Drosophila melanogaster: one gene and its partners. The protein of the gene in region 3 purifies or fractionates together with the protein of the main gene of each other region. This does not show direct contact. Each region holds a gene or a part of one and is shown on either strand. Other genes may lie near its edges.

What was found.
Region 1: the proteins of SmB (region 3) and msk purify together in Drosophila melanogaster (affinity purification with western blotting, with the first as the bait; one study listed by BioGRID). This does not show direct contact.
Region 2: the proteins of SmB (region 3) and Deaf1 purify together in Drosophila melanogaster (affinity purification with western blotting; one study listed by BioGRID). This does not show direct contact.

Annotation. Positions count from the first base shown.
Region 1 is NT_037436.4:8,114,476-8,122,126, reverse strand, and holds msk (moleskin), read right to left. Parts: upstream 5,949-7,651; 5' UTR 5,688-5,948; coding exon 5,598-5,687; intron 4,823-5,597; coding exon 4,587-4,822; intron 4,532-4,586; coding exon 4,034-4,531; intron 3,971-4,033; coding exon 3,794-3,970; intron 3,581-3,793; coding exon 3,435-3,580; intron 3,383-3,434; coding exon 2,585-3,382; intron 2,523-2,584; coding exon 2,299-2,522; intron 2,216-2,298; coding exon 1,905-2,215; intron 1,850-1,904; coding exon 1,377-1,849; intron 1,313-1,376; coding exon 1,116-1,312; 3' UTR 548-1,115; downstream 1-547. Other genes in the region: ldbr (lariat debranching enzyme), read right to left, coding at 12-208; Arp3 (Actin-related protein 3), read left to right, coding at 6,402-6,445, 6,539-6,719, 6,783-7,097, 7,334-7,651.
Region 2 is NT_037436.4:19,816,569-19,821,220, reverse strand, and holds the start of Deaf1 (deformed epidermal autoregulatory factor-1), read right to left. Parts: upstream 3,048-4,652; 5' UTR 2,687-3,047; coding exon 2,555-2,686; intron 2,120-2,554; exon of another isoform or gene 2,031-2,119; coding exon of another isoform or gene 2,010-2,030; coding exon 1,211-2,009; intron 1-1,210. Other genes in the region: fibp, read left to right, coding at 3,469-3,471, 3,526-3,604, 3,672-3,990, 4,054-4,161, 4,218-4,350, 4,401-4,501, 4,560-4,628. UniProt on the Drosophila melanogaster protein: Transcription factor that binds the homeotic Deformed (Dfd) response element. High affinity binding sites contain at least 1 TTCG motif surrounded by additional TCG sequences.
Region 3 is NT_033779.5:10,424,955-10,428,227, forward strand, and holds SmB (small ribonucleoprotein particle protein SmB), read right to left. Parts: upstream 1,674-3,273; 5' UTR 1,543-1,673; coding exon 1,540-1,542; intron 1,171-1,539; coding exon 574-1,170; 3' UTR 529-573; downstream 1-528. Other genes in the region: Wdfy2 (WD repeat and FYVE domain containing 2), read left to right, coding at 38-318; KdelR (KDEL receptor), read left to right, coding at 2,217-2,855. UniProt on the Drosophila melanogaster protein: Plays a role in pre-mRNA splicing as a core component of the spliceosomal U1, U2, U4 and U5 small nuclear ribonucleoproteins (snRNPs), the building blocks of the spliceosome. Involved in germline establishment and development.

The DNA.
Region 1 (7,651 bases), on a different chromosome or scaffold from region 3:
ACTCTACTCACTTGTAAAAGGAGCACATATCCAGGTACTTCTTTGGTACAGCCATCGTCTGCAAATCCTCCAGATTCCGGGTGGACTGAAAATCGCCACAGCACAATAACAAGTCGATCTTGGTGCCGCCAACCTTTTCGATGCCCTCTATGGTGTCGTATATTCGTTCCAGCTCGCCATGTGCACATCCTTCGACAGCTATTTTCATGGTTAATAAAGGTAAGTTACTACTTTATAAATAAAACTTGGTTGTAAACAAATGCAACCGGTTGTCCAAACAAATAACGCGTTCTGATATCGCTTATCGATCGGCAATTCAGTGTGAGAAAACGTCTTTGGGGAACGACAGGATGGACGCTCTTATCGATAACTCTACTTAATGACCGCCAATATTTAAACTGCTGAAATCTTCCGGAAACAAAGTCTTTCAGCACTTAGCATTATTAAATATAATTATATATATTAGATGTACTTATAAAATTCGTTCCCTGAACGGTTTAAATACCTCACAAAAAGGTACACAAATAAGAAAAAGATTTCTCCAGTTCAAACGTTAAAAATTTTTTTTTTTTATTTTTCAAAAATATCGCTTCATTTAGTACAGAATATACGTGTATGTGTGTATAAAGAAAATGTATGTGAAATGCTCTGCGTTGAATTCTCATTCTCTGACCTAGATGCCAACTTTTTTTTGGAGTTCTACGGGGGCGTGCTGGTGGGCACAATCTCATTTAATGAGACCTTCTCGTCCTGACGTGTTTGTTTTTCGTTTCGTTTCGTTTCGTTTACATACAAAGATTTACAATGGACTTAAGTTATCATAATTTAGTTGGCCGCCCTGGCCACAAAATAGGAAATAAAATATAAATCTACAATAAATATAGTGCGGTCTCGTCGCCGCTCGACCGATCGATTTTTTAATCTGATTAATCGACCGATTGTCGCAGCATACATGGGTACACGGAGTGTACGAAAACCAAGAGAATGCCTTCAAAGCCATCATCAGCATGCCAGATGTATTTTGTTTGATGTTTTTGTTATTTTTGGAAAGAATATGAGAAACAATCAAGTCAGAAATCGAACCAAGTGTCTGGTGATCTGGTCAATTCAGTTTCTTAGGAGCCGAACTTAAACGACGTGGGCACGGCAGTCTGCGGAAAGGCGAAGCCACCTTGCTTCTCGATCAGCTTCGATTCCTTGGCGGCTTTGCGTTGGTCAGCCGTCACCACCACCTCTTGCAGCGCCTTGGCTTGCTCAGGTGTGAGGTTGGAGGTCAACAGCGCATACCAGGCTTGGTCTTGTGCAGAAAGTGCTGATGGCGAAGATTAGGTTATTAGTTAGTTTTCCAATGGTGTACAAAATTCAGCACAACTTACCAGTAATAACTTCCTTAAACGTCCAGTACTCATCGATGGCGCTTTCGTTCTCCTCATCGTCGATGGGCGTGGTAAACGACTCCAGTCCAGTCTCGTTCAGATCACCCACAGACTCCTCGGCGTCACCGTCCGAGTCAGCATCGTCGTCCTTGATTTCGGCTTTCACTTCGAAGCCCGACTCATTGCCCTTGGTTTTGGCAAATTCGGCCAATTTATCCAGATAGTCCGGTGCCATTTCGTCCATGTCATCCTCGTCACTGGACAGAGCCTCCTCACAGTCGTCACCGTCCTCCTCCTCCTCATCTTCCTCTTCCTCCTGAGCACGAGACTCGTAGGCGCGTTTTAGACCATCGAAAAGCAAAATAAGTGCGGGCACAATCTTTCCAGCCACTTCGCTCAGAACCTGGGGCTTGGCTTCGCCCAGCGAGATGAGGGTGCACAGACCCAGGACGCAAAGTTTGCGATCGTGGATGCTGGAAAACGTAACAATAAACTATCTAGATCATTAAAAAGCATGTCCATTCTTACCCTAGGAAACAGTCCGTGTCGTGAAGCCACTGCTTGATAAAGTGCGCGCTGATAGAGTCGTTGTTTTGCTGGGACATTTTGTCCAGAATGGACAGCAGCAACTGGGGATTATAGTAGAGTGCCGCGATTACCACTTGCAGGCACATAGTGCGCAGCTCTGAGGATTGAACTTCACGTGTTAACCGGGACAGAGCCAGCTCCACGAACATATGTATCACTGAGTCGATTTGACCCTTGCACTGCAAGATAATCACTTCCATCAGTTTGGCGGCATGGCACTCGGGATCCTCGCCAGGGCTACTAGTAAGCATCTAAAATAAATTATAATTATTATAATTATTATTATAGTTATTCGAGGTTCAGACATATTTAATTATTAAGAATAGAAGCTTACCGTTTTGCACATGTCGAGAATCGCCAACAGCCTGTTGGGATTGGAGAGGAAAGCGGGCGTGTCGACCGTCACATAGTTATGCAGAGCAGGCATAATGTCGATAAAGTAGTCAATACCGTCCTTCTTGAACACCTGATAGATGAGCTCCAGCATCTGCCACATTTCGGGGGAAATGGCCTTGGCTGTCAGGTCGTAGACCAGGGAGAAGGTTTCCTCATAGAAGTCTGAAGAGATGACCAGATATTTTTATAAACGATATCAACGATTGAGGGCACAGCCAACTAACCAGTTATGTTGTGCTGGAAAATGTGTCCGACAACATTAATGACGATCGGGTGCAAGTTAAGCAGGACATCAGGATGCTCTTCCATCACACTGAGCAGAGTTTCGATAGTGTTAAGCAGACTCATGGCCGTGATGGCCTTCTCGTCGGATCCCTCCTCAGATTCTAGGACCTGGCTGAAGGTGGTGGCCAGGTGCTGGCAGATCTCGGTGGCCACGGGCAGCAATTGCTCGGTGAAGGTGCACACGATCTTTTGCATAACGTTTGTTAGATCTTCGTTCTCCGTCTCTCGAATGATGGTAAGCAGCTCCTTGGTGATCTCCTTGATCTGTGCCTCCACGTATTGCGGCGCCTCGTCCTGGGACGATATGAACATCTGCAGACCGATAGCTGCCTCCACTTTGACGGGCAGCTCCTTGTCGGTAAGCAAGGCGTTTGTGGTCAGACGCATTATCTCGGCCAGCACTTGGGGATTCTTGATTTGAACGTCACAGAAATAGTGCAGCACCCAGCACGCGCGCGCTCTCATGTGGCCCGCGGGATTTTGGAATTCTGGGAAGACGTAGGTGGTCAGCATGGACTCCACTTGGTCGCGGTACGAAGCCTTCTTCAGCAGTACGTCCGCCAGCGTTCCAATCATGTGCAAGGCACCATCTTTCTGTTTGTTGTCCGCATTCGGCGATGTAATTATCTGCATAATTGTGGCCATTGCCTTGGGCAAAATGCCCTTGCGCTTTTTGCACATAGAATGCAGCAGAGATTGGGCTGCCGGTACAGGTGTGGCATAATCCTCAAAGATATCTATTGGAATCGGTTAGTAATGTAGTTCAAGTCATTTAAAAAGTTCTCTTACCGAACTTAAGGCGAATGTACTCGTAGGGATCGCTTTCCCAGAGCTCCTGATCGGAGTCAGTAAACGACATGATGGGAAAGATCACGTCCTGGATGACAGCCACCATGTGAGGCTTAATCAGCTTCCAGGTGTAGGCGTGGCTAACCCTGCAAACGGAATAAATAACATTTAAAAAAACGAGTCAACTGATTGGAATCGACTTTTGTAACTGCAATTATAAACACTACATCTTATCAGCTTTAAAAATTTTCAGACTTTCTATCAAAGATTAGGTATCTCCTAATTAAGTAACATCGATTTTACATTCCAACTATATATCAAATGTCACATGAGAATTTATAGAATACTAAATTACTTACGCATTCTTCAGATAGTTGAGCACATCAGTGAGGACGCGTGGTGAGACGTAGACTCTGTTTCGGTACTGGTCGAGGATCTTGAGGAGCACCTCCAGCACGCCCTGGCTAAACGTGGGCAGATACCACTCTGCGAATTTTTGGTATTTTTCACTAACCACATTGCTGGGACTGCCATAACTAAATTTATACATACAACGTTAGTTATCTAGACTATGACTATAGATACTGCCGTCAACGTACCGCTCGAACATGCGAACCATGATGTGCAGGGCCCACTTCTTAGTCTTCCAGTAGGGGAACTCCGTTCGCTCATCATCGTCCAGGTGCGAGCTATCGGGCACTGCGCGATCAGCCACCTGACGACAGATCTCCATCCACTGCGAGAAGATCTCCTTGGTAATGAGGTCCAGTGGAAGGGTGTATTGCGTGAGGGCATAGTAGATCTTGAGAATTTGCTTTTGTAGCAGCACAGATTGCTCGGACTGCTCTGCCAGCAGTCGGACCATCAGCTGGTAGATCATGGGCAACAGTAGGTTCATTGCCTCGTTTAGCGGCGTCCTCTCCTCATGCCGCTTGTACTCGTAGGTCTTGACCAGCTGGTACATGGTTACCAGAGCTCCGTTCCAGCCGTTGACATCCTGGTTTTGCAGATATATGCTGATGCTATCCACCACCTGTGGCCAGCGTCCAGGGAAATCGCTTTTAATGATGTGATTGACGCAGACAGACAACTGGACCCTGTGTACAGAACGAAATTAGCCCCCTGGAAAGGATTTTCAATGGATTTACCCACCTAATCAACTCGGGGGCGTGCACAATAGCATCTACAATAGCGCCACGGATCATAGCCCGATCCTGTTCGTGTATAGAGAAGGGTATTGGCTCTCCAGGCTTGGCCTCGTGGTCCGACCAGCTGCTGTTGATCAGATTCTTGAGGTAGACAGCACCGGCCTGGCGCACCGGCTGTTCCACCGTCGTCTGCATAACGATCTGCAGTATGGTGGGCACAAATCCGATGATTTTGTGTATCTGTGGGGATTTTAATGTATAGAAATAAAATAGAATGGATATGTTTACACAGCTGTTTGGGGTTGGGTTAAATTTGAATTGGTCAAAGAATCAATGGCAGAAGCACTTTAAATTCCGTTCACAGAGCTCAATTAATATGGAGGAGCCAAGAACAACTGCTGGCCATAAGCGCTGATAAAGTTAATTGACAACAGGGGGGTTGGTGGGAGGCGATTGGGAGGGGCATGCAAATCGTTAGATGCTGACTCAGTCGTAATGAGCATGCCTCTACAGTGGGGCCAAAGCAATTGGTTAGTGGGGTGGGGTCTAATTAGACTGGCCGCTCTGATTGCCCACATTTATTTCCAAGGGAATTGCGTAAGCTTCAATCAAAGGGCATTCCGGCGATATTTCGAAAGTCTCAATTAAATATTTATTAACAATTCAGTGGATTTCCGAAGAATCACACGAAACTCGCAATAAATATGTACACATATAGAAATATATATAGCATACATACATATGTAGGTGCCCCAAAGATATCGACTTGTTGCCTCTGGGGCAACAACATAGAAGTCGGGATAATGGTAAACACATAAAGGGCAAACTTTTTGACCGATATCGGATTACACTATCCACACCCACACACTTGTACAACGACCAGAGTGATGAAGTGCGGGAGCGAGGGAGGTTAAAAGCGAACAATTAAAAAAGCACATGGTTTTCAGGCGATGGCGCCACCTCCAAAGACCTTTCGAATTCAAGTGCAGGCGTTTATTTTTGGGAGCAAACTCACCTGGGCCAGTTGATCCTCGGCCGCCTTGCGCTGTTCCGGATTCGGATCAATAGTTGCGCGCAACAGTTCCGTGAGTTTTTGTGCCTCCATTTTTGCTACTTTTGCTTGATTCTATGTTTCGCCGGTCTTTCTGCTGCACTTCGTCGTTTGGCGGTCACCTTGTGCCCACTGTGCACCCGCTGTTCTTGCCTTTATATAGACCTTGGTTTATGCTAGCCGAACCAGTGGCTCCAATGTGTGGGCCAAATTGCAAATCTCTTTTTCCGGAGGAAAAAACGTGGAAAAGACTCCACACACGCACACACACACCGCCGAAATTCGCGAGACGAACGAAGCTTAGAAGAAGAAGAAACAGCGCCTGTGTGTGTTGACTAACGCCGCAGTGTATGGGGCCCTACAGGGCTGCATTATGTTCGCCGGTAACAGTTTAGCCAAAAATTCGAGCAATATTGAAAAGCCTTCGCTGCGGAAAATCTAGGCACCATTTATATATAGACCACTTGCTTCATAAGGTAACTATATTTAAAGGCTTAAAAAACAGCGACTTTTCACAATTCCCGATAAATTGCCATTCAAGTTGCATGGCCAATCGATTGTTGCAGCCCTGGCAGCTGCTCGTACGTGAACACGCGAATGTGTGTGTGACGAAGAGCAAAGTGACACATAGTTGGAGGTGTGGTTGAAAATATATAGAAATCTGGGTTTATCTGCAACTGAAACGAAGGGAAATTTGTGTTAAAGGCGAGCGAAGATCGCAACTGAAGAGCTTTAACTGGCAGCAAGGCAAAAGGACGAGCAGCGACCATGGCAGGCAGGCTACCGGCATGCGTAATCGATGTGGGCACCGGGTGAGTTTTTAGTTTCGATTGCCCGTGGGGGTCTCCAATTGGACGGAAAGGAGGTCGACTGACTAACACTCTGCTTGTCTGCACATCCATCAGCTACTCCAAACTGGGATTTGCCGGGAATAAAGAGCCGCAGTTCATTATTCCCTCGGCGATTGCCATCAAGGAGTCGGCACGAGTGGGAGACACCAACACACGGCGCATCACAAAGGGCATCGAGGACCTGGACTTCTTCATCGGCGATGAGGCCTTCGATGCCACCGGCTACTCCATCAAGGTATGCTCTTGTATCTATGGTCATTAAGCAACCGACATCACATTTATCATTGCATTCCAATAGTATCCGGTGCGTCATGGTCTGGTGGAGGACTGGGACTTGATGGAGCGCTTTCTGGAGCAGTGCGTCTTTAAGTATCTGCGCGCCGAGCCTGAGGATCACTACTTCCTGCTGACTGAGCCGCCGCTAAATACGCCCGAAAATCGGGAGTACACCGCGGAGATAATGTTTGAGACGTTCAACGTTCCTGGTCTGTATATCGCCGTCCAGGCGGTGCTTGCCCTAGCCGCCAGTTGGGCCTCCCGGTCCGCAGAGGAGCGTACCCTTACAGGCATCGTGGTGGACAGCGGCGATGGAGTGACGCACGTCATACCCGTGGTAAGTAGCACAGATCTTATCTTATCAGCAGAGTTGGGTTGGCACTGGATTCGGTAAAAACTGTTTGAAAAGAGAACCCAAAACCGAAACAGTCGACGGATTTATTTAATAAATAAATAGCACATTCTGAGGCTATTATTAATACTACAGAATGTTATATTAAGAGGGAATTATTAAGATAAAATAGCGTATTAGTTATAACCATATAAATATATTAAGCTGTTTTTCATTTCTAGGCCGAGGGCTATGTGATCGGCTCCTGCATCAAGCACATTCCCATCGCGGGCCGCAATATCACCTCGTTCATCCAGAGCCTGCTACGCGAACGGGAGGTGGGCATTCCGCCGGAACAGAGCCTCGAGACTGCTAAAGCGATCAAGGAGAAGCACTGCTACATCTGTCCCGATATCGCCAAAGAATTTGCCAAGTACGACACGGAGCCGGGCAAGTGGATACGCAACTTTAGCGGCGTTAACACGGTAACCAAGGCGCCGTTCAATGTGGACGTGGGCTACGAGCGATTCCTGGGACCCGAGATCTTCTTCCATCCCGAG
Region 2 (4,652 bases), on a different chromosome or scaffold from region 3:
GACTTAAAAATAAAAGACATAGAATTAGAAGTAGGAGATAAAGTTTTACTAAGAAATGAGGTAGGTCATAAATTAGACTTTAAATATACGGGGCCCTATAAGATAGAAAGCATAGGAGATAATAACAATATTACGCTACTTACTAATAAAAACAAAAAACAAATAGTTCATAAAGATAGATTAAAGAAATTTCATTCATGATTGAATTTAAACTTATATTTTCCTTAATCATTTATACAAATTTTCCATACACTACGTATATTTTTATCTTTGCATTATAAAATCAACTATTGTTGTTCAAACAAAAACACAAACAAAATAAAAATAAAAATAAAATAATTTGCATTTAATAATCAAAATAACTTCACTAGGTTACGTTATTTTTCAAAAGGAGGGAGATGTAGTATGTGCCTATGCAATATTAAGAACAATTAAATAAAATAGCATATTAACTTATGGCAGCACTTTGTTGCTATGTTTATGTTTATGTTTATGCACGCAGTTAGGCCAGGGCGGATGTAACATGATCACCCACTCGAAGGCAAAAAGTATAAGTGCATGGTCAGCATTCACACGCCGACCAAATACATATTACATACGTACATACATATCTCGCTCTCCCGATAAGCCTAGATATATAAGATATACATAAGAACGCCGCTCCGCTGCTGGCGTACCCGGCAGCGCAGCTACGCGGATTAGCCTAAGTCCAAATATATAAAAAACTGTAAAATCGGAGAGACTCTGTAGACGTTGAGCTGACAGAACCATTTCTGCCTACTCTAAAATCAAAAGAAGAAATTGAATAAATATATGTCAGCCCGACGGCTGCCTTCAACTTAAAACGGACTTGTGTTCTTAATTGGAGTTCATCATTACATCTCATTCCTTAATGAGATGTTCTATAGGGTTACAATATGACATACACACTTGAGAATAAGAAAGTTTTAATATTATTTCTTGCAACATTTTTGCCCAAGAAGCCCTTGCTGAGTAAAATTTCCAATTACTTGGAATTGTTTAAACCCTATAGTTTGCAAACAAAAAATTGTTGATAAACAGAAGTCAGGTGGGTTTTTAAAGCTGTGGTGTTATGAATTCGGTTTGTGCGCGAGTCCTGCACCTGGGACACCATGACGGACCGATGACCAGGTCAACTCGGTGCGCCATGCAGAAGGGGGGAGTGTGTAGTAATTGTTGTTCGTCTCACCTGACTCACCTGCTTCGTCGTCGCAGCAGACGGTGCAGCTGCAGTTGGTCGCGTGCGGCGTGAGCGTACCCTCATCGATGAGGGACTGCAGCGATTTGCCGCCGTACTTGATCGAACGCTTCCAATCCTTGCTGGAGCCCCGGCCACACACATGCTCAAACTCACTGGGCGTATGCCACTTGTCCTTGTACTTCACACAGCGTCCACGGCCGCCGGAGCCCAGCTTGCTGCGGTATAACTCGGCGCAGGTGGTTTTGCAGCGGATCTGGAAGACCTCATTGTGCTGGGTTGACGGGTTCTCCGACCATCCCGAGGAGCCACCACCCGTTCCGCCGCCGCCACCGCCGACGCCACTCGCTCCGCCCGCGGCGTGCTCCAAGGTGGCCAGGCTGTCGTGGCTATTGTTGCTCCCGGAGCCATCGTGATTCAGTCCAATCGTATTTGTGGCGGTCGTATTGGTGCCCGCATTATTGGCGCCGCCACCGCCGCCGCCTGGTTGCGTCTGCTGTTGCTGGATGACGATCGTCTTGAGGTCGTTGCCCATGCTGACCGTGCTGCCGGACAGGTAGCCATTGTTGTCGACGCACAGCATCGGCTTGAAGTGAGGGGGCAGCTGGTCGGGCGTGATCACATTGAAGGTAGTGCCGGTTATCATCGAACCGATGGGCAGGGATACGGGCACCGAAACCACACCGCCACCGCCGTTTCCTCCGCCCGCTCCGCTTGTACCGCCACTGGCGCCGCCGCTACCACTGTTGTCGTTGGAGGAGGATGTGACCATGCGAACCTTGGTGTCCAACTGCATTACCATAGCGCACATATTCCCACGTTCGTCACATGTATGTGGGTGAGTGTCCAGCGGCCAATTGATGGCGTTTGCGATTTAATTCAATGCGATTTGCACAGGAATCGGGAATGAAAATTCGAATGTAAGTAAACAACACAGCATGGGAAAAATGAAAATCGGTATACACAACATTTGTGCGCCACAAATGCGGTGGGTGGAGGGGGAAAACGAGGAGGAGGAGGCAAATTGGGAGTGGATGGAGGCGAGAAGGCGAGCGGGGAATGCCTGTGGCCCAGTGGGTCGCACGGAGCGTTCCGTAGGGCGCAAGTTGCGCCACCCCCAGGCCACCTAGCCCAACCACCCACCACCCACTTTCCACAACTGCGCAGAGCGAAGCGGAGCGGTTTTCGAGCCAGATTCGGTTTCGGATTCAATAGATAGAACCTGAACCAAACACACAGTCCGGAACCAAAACCACCCCGCCAAAGGAGAAGCGAATGGAAAATCCAAAACCAAATGGGCTCCTTACGCAGCCGTTTGTTGCTCCTTTTTCTTACCTGGTGGTGATGATGATGATGGTGATGGCTGGAGCTTTCTAATATCACCTCTTCTTTCACAACATCCTCGGCCAGCGCGGCCAGATCTTTCCTATTCAGGTGCAGCTCGGTGGAGGAGTCAACCTGTTCCATAGTATTGTTATGCCAGTTCACTTTCACTTATTCTGCGGTCCAACGATAGTAATGCACTTGAATTGTTCATCGGATTACCACTTGCAATTGGATTATTGCGATATATGTATATTATTCGACGTCTACCGAGACGACGGACGGTCTGTTGTTGTTGTTGTTGTTGCTGCCGCCGCGATCCGCGTTTTTTTCAGCGCTCACCACGACTTACATGCGAATTGCGCGCAGGTCGCGTTCAAGTTGCATTGCCCTATTTACAGCTGGTGGTTCATTGCAATTTACATTTTTTAAGCTTAAACTTTACTAATTTACTAAAAAAGTTGATATCCTCCTCTTCTTCCTCATGATAACTAGAGTTGTCATGCGCGTTGCAGCTATCGCCCGCTATCGGCACTATCGATAGTCGTGATTCGTGCTCGCTATCTGTGCCCCATCTCTGGTTTTTAAATATCGGAAAGTTTACAGCTATATATCTTGCATATTAAATTAAGATTTCTGAGAATTACAATTTTAAAGATTTCCTTATGACTTGATCTTAAAACTCAAAATCACACCGAATTTGGTTTTACCATTATTACTCTAAACATTTTCGCTTGTTTATTAATAGGATATATTGATGTTATGAAAACAAGAACGATTTATTACTTTCAAGGAAAAGTTTTAAATTCATGAGAAGAATAAACTATGCTGCTTGTGTTGGAACTACACAGTGTTTCATCTCTAACATACATTTCGATATATCCAATTGGACAGCTAGTTCAGAAAACGGTCACTCTAGCAATATAATGGTAACTATCTGATGATCCAAAATAATAATAAATAGTAAAACTGAATGCTTACAGGCCGATGTGGATGTGTTTATAAGTAATTATACAATCATCGATCCAGAAATTTACCAGCTATGGATCGAAGGCTTCTCCTGTAAGTTTTCTTCTCCCAATTGCAATCTTGTTTCATGTCAAACGGCTCCATCGATTTACAATTATAGCCAGCGAGGCGGTGTCCTATCTGAAACAGAAGGGTTTTGGTCACTCCATGGGCGCTCCCAGCGACCTGATTGCATCGGATGTACTGGATCATTACCGCACCTATTCCCTGATTGAACTATACCTAAACGCACCCACCAAACTGATGGAGCAATCCTGCTTCCAGCTGGAGCCACAAATGCGTGACCTTATCACCGAGAAGTACTATTCCATCGATGATGTGGTGGCTCGCGAAATTCTTGGCAAGAAGCTGTCGTCCCGCTACCGCAAGGACCTCGACGAGGTGGCCGAGAAGACGTGCGTCAAGCTAAAATCAGTTCGGTGGGTAAATTTGGCCGCTACTTAGGCAGAGTAGAGTCTAATATATTTCAACTTCTTCTTCAGCCGACAATTTGACAACGTAAAACGCATTTTTAAGGCAGTCGAGGAAATGCCGGGCACGTTAACCAACAACATCAAGCAACACTTCATCATATCCACCGATCTAGCCAAGTATGAATATAATCAATGTATTGAACTTCAAAAAGCTAAACCTTTCACTCTTACAGAAAGTACGCCTGCATTGTTTTCCTGGCCTGCCTGCGTTTCGAAACCACCAAAAAAAAGTTGCAATACCTGAGCTTCAGTGATTTGTTGACCTGCTCCCATGCCATCATGATCTACTGGACGTATACTTACCAGGTATGACTTAGCTCTGCTAATTCCTTACGAAACTAATTTACTAAATGCAGCACACTGGACCGGAGTACTATGATACCGAAATGGACAAAGAGTTTCTCTTGGACCTGCGGGAGTTGCGCTGTCTACTCGACAAGGAAAAGGAGATTAAGCAGTGAGATTTATTTTTCTACCGCACACGAGCTATTATATAGTTTAGTCCTTGCATTTAGCCTCGTCTGCATGCGCCTCAAACCCGTTCTTCTCGAGCGCGCCTTTCACGAACTGGATGGCAACTTTCGGTAAGGACTTATTTCTCGACATTA
Region 3 (3,273 bases):
GTTACTCTTTGTTTTACAAGTAATTTCTGACTGTCAGGAATACGACAGCATCATTGTCGCCACTGCGGCAAAGCCGTGTGCGACAACTGTTCCACCAATCGCATTAACATACCCATAATGGGCTTCGAGTTTGATGTGCGTACCTGTGATCCGTGCTACAAACAACTTCAGACAGTCGAGCGCCCCTCGCTGGCTTCATTCAATGACGCCAAGCATTCGATCGTCTACATGGACCTGGACGAGGACAGAAAGCGCCTGTTGACAGTGGGCCAGGACAGGCTCATCAAGATCTGGGATCTCTCCAACATCTGGGCATAAAACATCCTGTACGCACACGCACGTACCAAAGGTATAATCATTCACGAGGCGTTTCGGTCTTAACTGGAACACCCAATTAACGAACGATGTGGCTGGCAACGACCAAATCCAGTCCCTGCTGCTTAGGTTCTCATATAATTGATGTAAAGCAATAATCATTGTATGTACGTATGCTTACATTCAACACATAAATACACGAATCCATCGATTAAGTGGTGTTTTCTAAATGAGTTTTTATTAGATTGTACTTTATACTTAATAGCCACCCCTGCCCGGTGGTGGTGCTCCACGGATCATGCTGGGCGGCGGTCCGCGCATCGGTGGCGGAGCACCGCGTCCCATGTTTCCTGGCATCGAGGGCATGCCGCCGGGAATCATGCCCGGTGGCGGTGCACCCATCATCGGTGCTCGTGGCACTCCTCGTCCCATCGGAGCCATGTGCTGTTGGGCGGGTCCGCCCACACCTCTCACGGGACCCTGGAGACCCGCTGGCACGGCGGACAAGTTGATAGGCATTCCGCGTCCGGCCACGCGACCGATTCCCGGACCAGGAGCTGCTCCCGGAATGGGAACTCGGGGCAGGCCCTCCTCTGGCGGCGGTGGTCCCTCCACCGTCAGTGAAACTATGTTCTCGCCGCGCAGCAATACAAAGCCCAGCACGCGCTTCTCCTCGCGCTCGGGCACCTTGGAATTCTTCGAGCGAATCTTCCGGAACTCCTCGCAGTCGCCGAGGATCAAGTTCATGTGTTTGTCGAAGGCTTTGAAGGTACCGATGAAGGTACGCGAGTCCTGCAGCACGATTCGCACCCGATAATTCAGGTGCTGAATCATTTTGTTGTTCTTGCCGATCGTCTGAAATAAAGGAATTCAAAGGATTTAATTGTGAAATACAATAGCATGCATAAAAGTCGCGCCATCTTTTGTAAACCATTTCGACCCTTTAAAAAAGCCGGTATTTATAAAAATTTTAATAAACCACAGAGTTTGAAATAGCAAATCTCAGCGTAATATCGAAGATCACTAAAAATCATAATTTTAAACAAATATAAAATAGTTAATTAGCCAAAACAAATTGTTTTATTTATTCGCATGCATGTTTGTATGTATGTATGCCTATGTAAATACGAAATCGCAACCGCGAAAGTAAGAATCTATGAATTAATACAACTAAACAAAACTTAACCATTGCAGTCAGATGCTTAAAACAGTGTTTTTACTTACCATTTTATTTGATTTCTATGTTAATTCTATCGCTTGTAAATAAAATACAGATGCCGGAACCTCACCACGGCTTTTTTCGATAGGCATGAAGAATAAATCGAGTGGCGTGTGCGGCGGTCAGCATTTTCTGGTGTCTTTCAATCGAGCCTATCGAATATAAATTTTTTATTGATAATCCACATGATTTTTTAAACAAACATTCGACTATCCCTAGCAAAAGAAGAGAAAAAAATTAAATTTTTTTTAAATCTTATGATAAAAAACGAAAAAAGAAAAAATTTGAATCAGTATGTTTTTTCTCAATTTTTTTCGTTAGAGATGGTCGAATTTTCATTAAAAAAATCATGTGGCGGCACTTATCGATATCGATAGGCAGTGGCCATGTTATCAAACTTATTCTTATTCATCAGCCACGTCATTGTTTATGCCGACATTCTGACAAGTTTTTTTCCGAAGCGGCAAAGCCCTCACATCTCTACTCGTTGGCAAATTAGGCGAAAAGTCATTTTGGTAACGTATGCAGCTGTTGAAACACTGAATGCCGCCATTATTGCTATAGTATACACTCCCATTTTCATATAGGCGTGCGTTCCGTGACGCAGCCGCAGCGAAAGGAAGTAGAACAATCAAACAGCCAACCGGGCAGCCAAGTAGCCAAGTCGGCGGATTAGATCACGATGAATATCTTTCGCTTTGCTGGGGATCTGTCGCATGTGTTTGCCATCATAATACTGCTGCTGAAGATATGGAAGACCCGCTCGTGCGCCGGAATATCGGGCAAGTCGCAGATCCTGTTCGCCGTGGTCTATCTGACGCGCTACCTGGATCTGTTCACCACCTACGTGAGCCTGTACAACTCGGTGATGAAGGTGTTGTTCCTGGCCACGTCCGGTGCCACCGTGTATTTGATGTACGTGAAGTTTAAGGCCACCTATGACCACAATCACGATTCGTTCCGCATCGAATTCCTGCTGGTGCCGTGCGCCCTGCTCTCGCTGGTGATCAATCATGAGTTTACCGTGATGGAAGTGCTGTGGACATTCTCGATCTATTTGGAATCGGTGGCCATTCTGCCGCAGCTGTTCCTAGTGAGCAGAACCGGCGAGGCCGAGTCCATCACCAGCCACTACCTCTTCGCCCTGGGATCGTACCGTGCACTCTACTTGCTCAACTGGGTCTACCGGTACATGGTCGAGTCGCACTACGACCTTATCGCGATCTTCGCCGGAGTTGTCCAGACCGTCTTGTACTGCGACTTCTTCTACTTATACATTACCAAAGTTCTTAAGGGCAAGAAGCTCCAGCTGCCGGCATAAGCGGATGATGGATAAGTGCATAGATGTGGGACATTTGTGTTTTGTCGGCACACATCATCAATCGACGTCAGAGTAAACAAGCGAGCGATCCACGGCCCGTTTGACAACGCGTATTTCGTTCATATTATACAAAAGATACATAATCGAGGGGAGCGCCTAAGTTGTAATTATTTAATGAGAAATAAACCGAAAATCGAAAGTACACTATAAACTATGCAATACCGACATCGTACATTGAAAATGTAACAAATGTATTAATCTCCGTTTTCCGAACTGCACTCACAAATTTTAGAATCCAAAAATATTAAAAAAAAAAATCATTACTCCAGTAAGAGATAACGTTAATTGACAAAATCGAAACAAATGTTTTCTCTTTTGCGCGGAGGCTTATCTGATTCGCAATAGTATCACAGAAGAG